2 linked regions of the Macaca mulatta genome follow. The protein of the gene in region 1 purifies or fractionates together with the protein of each later gene. This does not show direct contact. Links are inferred from orthologs where the notes say so. Each region holds a gene or a part of one and is shown on either strand. Other genes may lie near its edges.

What was found.
Region 2: the proteins of SLAMF6 (region 1) and SH2D1A purify together in Homo sapiens (co-immunoprecipitation; 5 studies listed by BioGRID and IntAct, with this or other methods). This does not show direct contact. The link is inferred for Macaca mulatta from reciprocal best matches to the Homo sapiens genes SLAMF6 and SH2D1A.

The regions. Positions count from the first base shown.
Region 1 is NC_133406.1:106,356,861-106,361,258, forward strand, and holds the start of SLAMF6 (SLAM family member 6), read left to right. Parts: upstream 1-1,531; 5' UTR 1,532-1,619; coding exon 1,620-1,668; intron 1,669-4,398. UniProt on the Homo sapiens protein: Self-ligand receptor of the signaling lymphocytic activation molecule (SLAM) family.
Region 2 is NC_133426.1:130,790,525-130,795,078, forward strand, and holds the start of SH2D1A (SH2 domain-containing protein 1A), read left to right. Parts: upstream 1-1,660; coding exon 1,661-1,797; intron 1,798-4,554.

The sequences.
Region 1 (4,398 bases):
ATGGGATCTCATTAAACTAAACAGCTTCTGCACAGCAAAAGAAACTACCATCAGAGTGAACAGGCAACCTACAGAATGGGAGAAAATTTTTGCAATCTACTCATCTGACAAAGGGCTAATATCCAGAACCTACAAAGAACTCAAACAAATTTACAAGAAAAAAACAAACAACCCCATCAAAAAGTGGGCAAAGGATATGAACAGACATTTCTCAAAAGAAGACATACATACAGTCAACAGACACATGAAAAAATGCTCATCATCACTGGCCATCAGAGAAATGCAAATCAAAACCACAATGAGATACCATCTCACACCAGTTAGAATGGCGATCATTCAAAAGTCAGGAAACAACAGGTGCTGGAGAGGATGTGGAGAAATAGGAACACTTTTACACTGTTGGTGGGATTGTAAACTAGTTCAACCATTGTGGAAGACAGCATGGCAATTCCTCAAGGATCTAGAACTAGAGGTACCATATGACCCAGCCATCCCATTACTGGGTATATACCCAAAGGATCATAAATCATGCTGCTATAAAGACACATGCACACGTATGTTTATTGTGGCACTATTCACAATAGCAAAGACTTGGAATCAACTCAACTGTCCATCAGTGACAGACTGGATTAAGAAAATGTGGCACATATACACCATGGAATACTATGCAGCCATAAAAAAGGACGAGTTTGTGTCCTTTGTAGGGACATGGATGCAGCTGGAAACCATCATTCTTAGCAAACTATCACAAGAACAGAAAACCAAACACCGCATGTTCTCACTCATAGGTGGGAACTGAACAATGAGATCACTTGGACTCGGGAAGGGGAACATCACACACCGGGGCCTATCATGGGGAGGGGGAGGGGGGAGGGATTGCATTGGGAGTTATACCTGATGTAAATGACGAGTTGATGGGTGCTGACGAGTTGATGGTTGCAGCACACAAACATGGCACAAGTATACATATGTAACAAACCTGCACGTTATGCACATGTACCCTAGAACTCAAAGTAAAATAATAATAAAAAAAGAAATAAGATAAAAAATAAAATAAAATAAAATTGATAAATGTAAAAAAAAAGAAAGAAAGAAAGAAAAAACATAAAACAGAAGAAGAAAAGAAAAATTAGACTTTTAAAAATTTAGTTTTCTTCTGGCTTTTTGTTAGCTTTATATTTAAGTATTTTTCTGATATAATTAGAGTGGAATTGTTTTTCTAATTTTATTTTCAGATTACTCAGTGAGTATACACAATTGCAATTGAATTTTATATGTTGGTTTTGTATCTTTTCACCTTGCTGACCTCACTTATTTGTTCTAGTAGATTTTAGGAAATTCCTTACAGACTTTTACATATAAGTTTATGAAAGATGCAGTAAAGGACTTTATCTTCTTTCCCCCCCCCCCCAAAAAAAAGATTTGTGCACTTAGTTCAGAAAAAAGTAAACAAAAAATTGACACAGTTAGAAATTAGGATTTTCAGTTCAGGAGAAAAAGTTCTCACCACGCCTCTAGAGGAAGGGGAAGTCTCAGTAAAAAGTATTTTCAGTTTATGACAGAAAAGCAAAACGTTGACTGCCTCAAGGTCTCAAGCACCAGTCTTCACCACGGAAAGCATGCTGTGGCTGTTCCAGTCGCTCCTGTTTGTCTTCTGCTTTGGCCCAGGTAAATGTCAATGCAGACCGGTGTAGTCACTGAGTGACTTCCTGGTTTTGTGGCGCTTGCTCAACCTAAATCGTCTGTATACAATTGTCTGTCTGGTTCTCTGCCAAGGGATTGGGGTGGGAAAGGGGACACTCACAGTGTTACCTGATATACTACTACCTCCTCTCAACTTTGGATGCAATAAGCCTGAGATGGTTGTCGGTGAACAATTTCAACTGTGTCTGCATGTAAGAAAGTTATTTGCTGGGGCAGAGGAAATAAGTTTTTGCAAGACAAGACTGTTTCTGGTTTATGACCAACATCTTGTGTTATAAAGAGTACCAAGATCAAGAAAATGAGCCCTCATACCAATTTAGCTACTATCATACTGTGAACCTCAGGGAGGTTACTTATCCTTCCTGAACCTCACTATCCTCAGCTGAAATATTAAAAACCTATTATTCAGCTGAGCCAAATTTTCTGAGCCCAATCGAACACACTAAAAATAATCCTCTCACCTTTTGCTCGTTGCGGGGAAAAAAAAAAAAAAAAGGTTTCCATCTCTCCCCTCCTTTAGTGCAAATAAGGACTAGCTAGTCCAGCAATACATGGCATTGAGAAAAGCACAGTAATATGACATTGCTTTTCTCACAGCAATATGGCAGTGAGAAAAGAATGAACTGATCCAACTGGCTTCTTGTTCCCTCCTGTCCATTATATGGAGAAGATGAAGATTCGTATCATATTTGGGGAACTACAAAGGGTCCAAGGGAGACAAAGTGTAGCATTCAGGCAGAGATAGGCCAGGAGATAACGGAAACCTAGCCCAGAGCTAGCCCAGGGCAGCGGATGAAAGTAGGAAGCATTCACTGAGTGCTTATTGTATTTCAAGTATTGTTCCAGGTGCTGTACACACATTATGAGTCTCATGAGAATTCTATGAATTTATACTATTATTATCTCCATTTTAAAATAAAGAACTGAGGTGAAGTTCACTTAAATAATTTGCCCAAATTTCATTAGCCAGCATGCGGCAAGCTCTTGTAATAGTTCTGAGAAACAATGACAGTTGAATGAGTGTGGCAGCAGCATAAAAGAAAGAAGGGACCGAAGCAAGAGATCCCATCAATATAGAGTTAAGTAAATTAATTGGCAATTGGAATGAGGGGACAGGAATAAATATTCATCAAGCGCCTACTGAATGCTTGGCACTGTTCTAATTTGCATGAATACATCATGAACGAAGCAAGCAAAAATTCTAGCTCTCATAGAGTTAACATTTTAGCAGGAGACAAACCGTAAAAAAAAGATAAGTAAAATAGTGTATTCGGTAGTGATAAGGCATAAATAAATCAAGTAGGAAAGGAAGAGATGAAATATGGTAAAGAGGGCAGTGAAATTTCAAACAGGATAAGCAAAGAAAGTGACAAAATTGGAAGGTGGACCGCAGCCACAGGAGGAAGGCGAGTTCAATTTTGGACCTACTGATTTTAGGATGTCAGTGTTCTATCCATGAGGAAGTTATGTGAAAGTTCCTGGGAACTTAGGACTAGGGGTAGGGCTGAGGCTAGAGACTTAAAAAATCAATGGCATAGAGATATGTTACATTGAGGAGAAAACTGGAATGAGTACAGAACTTTGGGAAATACATATAAAATGCAGAGAGAGAGAATTCTTTCTTTCATTCAAGAGCCACTTCCTGACCTGGGAGCAGAATCTTGAGTTTTTGCTTCATTTTTACCTCCCTGCAAAATTAATTCCACCTCTAGAATAAAATATTCTAAATGTCCTCATGTTAAAACTCCTCTTCTTCTCCCTATTTCCATGAATACTTCTTATAATGACCCTGTGAAATTTACAGTGCTCCAATCTCCACTTCACAGATGGGGAAAGAAGGCACAGAACACTTAAGTAACTTGCTCACTGCCCCACACTTCTAGGGGAAATGGGTATAGAAAGAGAAACACATTTGAATGAGTTTTCAGGAGGCAGATGCAGGTGTTCTGAGACCCAGAAGGAGAGAAGTGGCTGCTAGAATTGGAAATCAGGAAGCCTGGCTCTGGAGTCTGTGCTTATAACAACTTCACTGCACTACTTAGCTTACACGCAGTCATATATTCACACAAATGCATACATAATTAGAAAATGTGAGGCTAGCAAAAAATAAATAAATAAACAAGCAGGGGACCTTGATAGAGAAAAACACGGGGACCTGCTTTGGACGGAGTGATGAAGAAAGGACTTTCTGGAAAAGTAACATCTCATCTGATATTTAAAGGGTGTGAAAAGTTAAACAGGAAAAGTCAAATGAAGAAGCTTTTAAGGCAGAGGGAATCAAGTGTACAAAAGCTCTGATGCAGGAAAGAGCCTGGAGTGATTTAGGAAGGGAAAGAAGACCACTGTTGCAAAAGCGTGGGGCAAATGAAATCAATGTTGGAAACAACCATGAAAAACAATGACTCACACCAGCCTACATTTTTTCAAGTGGGTTGGGCAGTATCCTGACTCCTTTTAGAAAATTTAGCTGAAGAGACAAACCATATTGAGAAATAATCCCATTTCCTTTAACTCAAGCCCTGGGTGGCAAAACTAACAGAACAAAACAATAATTATAGCTAAAATCAAGCATCATGACATCCTAGAGAAAATAAATCTCGTTCGTTTCTTCATTTCAATTTTTATAGATGGAAAATTGTCAAACTTAAATGTGCATATAAATTACTTGGGAGAATCTTACTAAAATGCTGATTC
Region 2 (4,554 bases), on another chromosome or scaffold:
CCTTGATACAAAGCACGAAAAGGGGTAAGAGGTGGAGTTGGTCAAAAACATGTGAGGAAGGAAGATGATAAGATAATATTGGTCCAATTCCCCAGAGCCATCCCCAAATGTCACCTTGAATGCTTTTAAAAAAAAATTCTTAATGCTGAAAATGACTAGTAGGAGACTTATGTTTATACTTTGCATACTAAGGCTGGACACTCTTCAATCAAGAAGAAAAATTGTTACCAGCTACCACTGAAATCTTGGAGGATTGTTCTTAACCCTAGTAGATGAAGAGCAAATATCTGCCTTTGGTGCAGGTCAGCTCTGTACATCCAATCCATTGGTAAGCCACGTGAGGAATTAAGTGTCGTTCTCCCTGTTGAGCTTCCAGGCTTGCCATATTCTCCAAGAACTACACACTGAAGTTGCAGAAAGCATATAATAGACGACATAGCTTCAGCTATTTAAGTTCCAATTTTAAAAGTACTTTACATAATCTAAAGGTACATGTATAAGACCATTCAGCTTCAGCAATAAATAAAGTCTTACTCTAGTGAAAATGCAGGAAGTTTTGGGGAAATATTACCTAGCACATTTTGAAATAGAAGCAATGCTTTATTTCAGAGAAGAAAATGCAGATTGAAAGGTTTTAAAATATTAAAGACAGTTTAGCATCAATTGAAGAAATAACATTTTCTAGAAACAACAGAGAATAAAAGTTACAATAATATTATCAACAACTTGCAAATGATTCAAAACAGATTTTATGGCCAAAATGCTGAAAGTTGGGCCCTATACACCAAAGGGCACATACAAATGCATATAAAGGCAAAGCACCAGTTAAATGATTCACAGTCTCATGTAAAGCCCATCAAATAGATAAATCTGGAAAATCTTTGGATGTACATTGTGACTTTTGTATCTCAACTAGCACTTTGGGACCTTGGACAAGGTGTTAGGAAAGAAATCAATATTTACTCAGGACCAAGACTTTCAAGATGACTGCGTGAGGTAGAAGGAAGAGGGAGAAGAAGAACTTGCCCAAAGTTCACTGTTAATCTACTATGTCCGATTCTGTGGGAGTCTTCATGGCCATGTTCAGTAATGATTGCATACTGACAGTACTGATAAAACCATCAGTGTTTTGTTCTCAGAGCTTTTGATCCTTTCATTTTGTTAGTATGTTTTTGCCCTACATGATGGGTCCACATACCGACAGAGACATGTACAACTTGCCTCTATCATCAACTCCTTACCGGCTAGTTGAGCTAAGTTATTCCTGGTGGCCTCTGAGTAAACTGCAAGAACAGAAGCATTACTAAGCATCCCTGTCTGAGTGCAAGGGTGTGTGTTGGCAGTACAGCCCCAATCTTGCAAAATCCTTCTTCCAATGTTCCTTCCCGCTCTGTATGAACCCTGTGTTGGGGGGCAGGAGATGGAAGCCCTTGGCAAGCTCGATTGAACTAAGCTACTAAATTGCTGAGCTCGTTTTAGTTGAAGTGTGAGAAGGAGGTTTAAGGCAAGTAGACAACATCCTGTTGTTTGGGTGCTTCTCTCTTTTTTGCACATCTGGCTGAACTGGGAGTCAGGTGGTTGACTTGTGCCTGGCTGCAGTAGCAGTGGCATCTCCCTTGTACAGTTCTCCTCCTCGGCCTGCCCAAGAGTCCACCAGGTCATGGACGCAGTGGCTGTGTATCATGGCAAAATCAGCAGGGAAACAGGCGAGAAGCTCCTGCTTGCCACTGGGCTGGATGGCAGCTATTTGCTGAGGGACAGCGAGAGCGTGCCAGGAGTGTACTGCCTGTGTGTGCTGTGAGTATGATACAGTGGGCATGGGCCTGCTGAGGGTGTGGGCGGTGGGCAGCGGCAGCTGGGGCCAGGGTGGAGGCCGAGGCAGGCAGGGGCGCCGGCATTAGCAGCTCGCCGACGACGCCTCCATGGTCCGCCCTCAAGTCCAGCCCAGGGCCGTGGTGAAACACACTTTCGCCTGAGTCCCTCGCTGGGGATTTCATTCCCTGGGCCACCTGCTCTCCAGAAGGCCCTCACCAGAGCCTTTTGGGGCAGCCGCAGAGAATACCCTTTCGGGTGCTGAAATGTGGTCTAGAGTTTACCTTCGCTCCAGGAAAGACCCAGGCTCCCCACTTCTATTTTGAACCCTATCGGGTGGTGCCCTGGGAGCCTTACTCTAGCTCTCTTTAAACGACTTTTGAAGTGTCATCCCAAAGGAAGGGCATGACATTCAGGGAGAGGAGACACATTAAGAAACAGAGTCAATTACTTTAAGAATGCAATGCCAGTAAAGTCGAGATGCTGAGAGAGGAGGGGGATGTGTATGAGTAAAATCACCTCTCTGGATCTGCTGATGTAGCATCCTTTAGAAAAGTAGTGGGGGGTGGGGAGGGGCAGGGGATTTCAGAAATAGGACCCTTCTTGATAAACGTTAGGACTCACAATAGTCTTAAAGGGAATGGAGGGAAAACACCCTTGTTATGATTCAGCTTTGCCATTTGCCTAGGCATGTCTCAGTCTAAGGCTTCATTTTGAATCAAATTCATCTGCGTCTTTGCTCCAGGGCTCCGGAGTCAGGCAGATCTGAGACTTTCTCCTGTGCTAGTCAGATGTTAGGCTTGTGACCTGGGCAAATTAACCTCTCAGTCCCCCAGTTTTCTTATCCATTGAATAGGTATCATATTACTGCCTACCTCATAGGATTGTAAGATTAAGTGCTATAATGCAGTAAAAAAATTAGCACTGGGGCCTGACACCTAGTAAATGTTCAATAAATGTAAGCTATTGGTATTGTCATTATACCAAAAATATATTGTTATTTTATCTTCTCTTTTCAGTTGATTTCTTTTAGGAATCATGGGGGCATTTCTAAGGAAGGACCTAGCTCAAGCATTATTGTCAGCAGGATAAAAAAAATCCATGAAAACAGCAGCCCTGCATAGTAGGTTCTAGACAGAAACCAAATGAGGTTAAATGCTTGGTAGTAAGTTCAGCATCTGATGATACCCCACAAGAGTTTGAAATACCTTATGGGTCAGTGAAGAAAGATTATCCTGATGCTGGTGCTAGAGGATTTTCACTGTATATTGGTTTTCAAAAATGGTCAAGCCTTGTTTGTGGCAGCTCTCAGGTCATGCTAAATACATTTTTCATAAAGGCTTCCAGGGAAATACGTGGAAGTTATTGAATGTCTTGGGCTTGAATCTTTATGTTTTGCTTATATAATTATGTTCCCGTGTGGAACCTAGGGAAGGGCAATGAAAATCAGCTAGGATTCTTAGGCTCTTTTCTCATTGAGAGAAGGTGGAGTGAGTGGGTGGGTGAAAGGCGCTGCTTTAGGGAAACTGACAAAGGAGATAATGTGCTCCTTAACCCAAAGGTGAAAAAGAACATACAAAACAAGTCTGGGCAGGGGAGGGACAACAGGGTATAGTGAGAGGCAAGATACACCTAAGACTTCAGCCTCACCAGGCTCCTGGCCGTTTCTCAAGCTCCTCAAAAATGCCCCCACTTAGGATTTCTGTGCTTATTGTTCCTTCTGCCAAAAATACCTTCAGTTCACATGTTTGTTCAACTGCCTCCTCCCTCAGAGAGGACTTGCTTGGCCACCTATCTAGAACAAGTGCCCTCTCTCTGTCCCTGATACACTCACTCCATCTCTTTATTTTTGTTCAAAGAGCTTTAAACTATTTGATAATTTGCCTGTTTACCTACTTATTGCTGGGCTGTCCTGCAAAAATATAATCTCCATGAGGACGGAGACATTGTCTCCATCACCAGGAACACAGGAACACATAATAGGCACTCAGCAGATATTTTTGAATTAACAAACTGTTAAGGCAAATTCTATTCTTTACTGCAAGAAAAGGAATGAACATCGAGAGGTTAGGGTGTGGACCCTGGGAAAGTCACTCAAATTCTCTGGGCCTCAGTTTCCATATTTATAAAACAGGAATAGTAATGTGTATCCTACCTTCTGCAAAAGATTGCCTTAAGTACCATATACAAGAGAGAAGGACAACTTTAGCCTTTTTCCTATGTGGGCCAGAACCACATGAGGAATTAACTTAGGCAGGTGAGAAATTCTCAAGCATTTAAGTTTTTGCCCAAAGTGAATCTTGCATAAATGCTTTTTTTATGACTCTCAGTTCTCCATGAAAACTGCCTTGTGAAGTAGCGGAAAATACTAGACAAATTGGGAGTTCCCTTACGGTGTCTTTCAAATGGTACACTGGGGACTCAAAGTCTTATGAGACTGTTTGGGTGATAGCCAGAATGTACTGCAGAGGGAAGATATAAGGATACATTGCCTTTTATCAGTTTCTCAACGTTTTTGAGTTGAGTGTCCCTTTTGACAAATGTAAAAAATTCATTCCCTCTTTTTGGTGCTACACTGTAATTATAAAATCAAATTTTATTTAGAAATAAACCATGTACTCATTTTAAACCAAAACACTTATGCTTATGATATGTAGTCGAAATAACAATATAAATGGTGTCACGTACACATGGACAACAAGGTATAGCTGACAAACATGCATTGAATGTAGGGTTTACTCA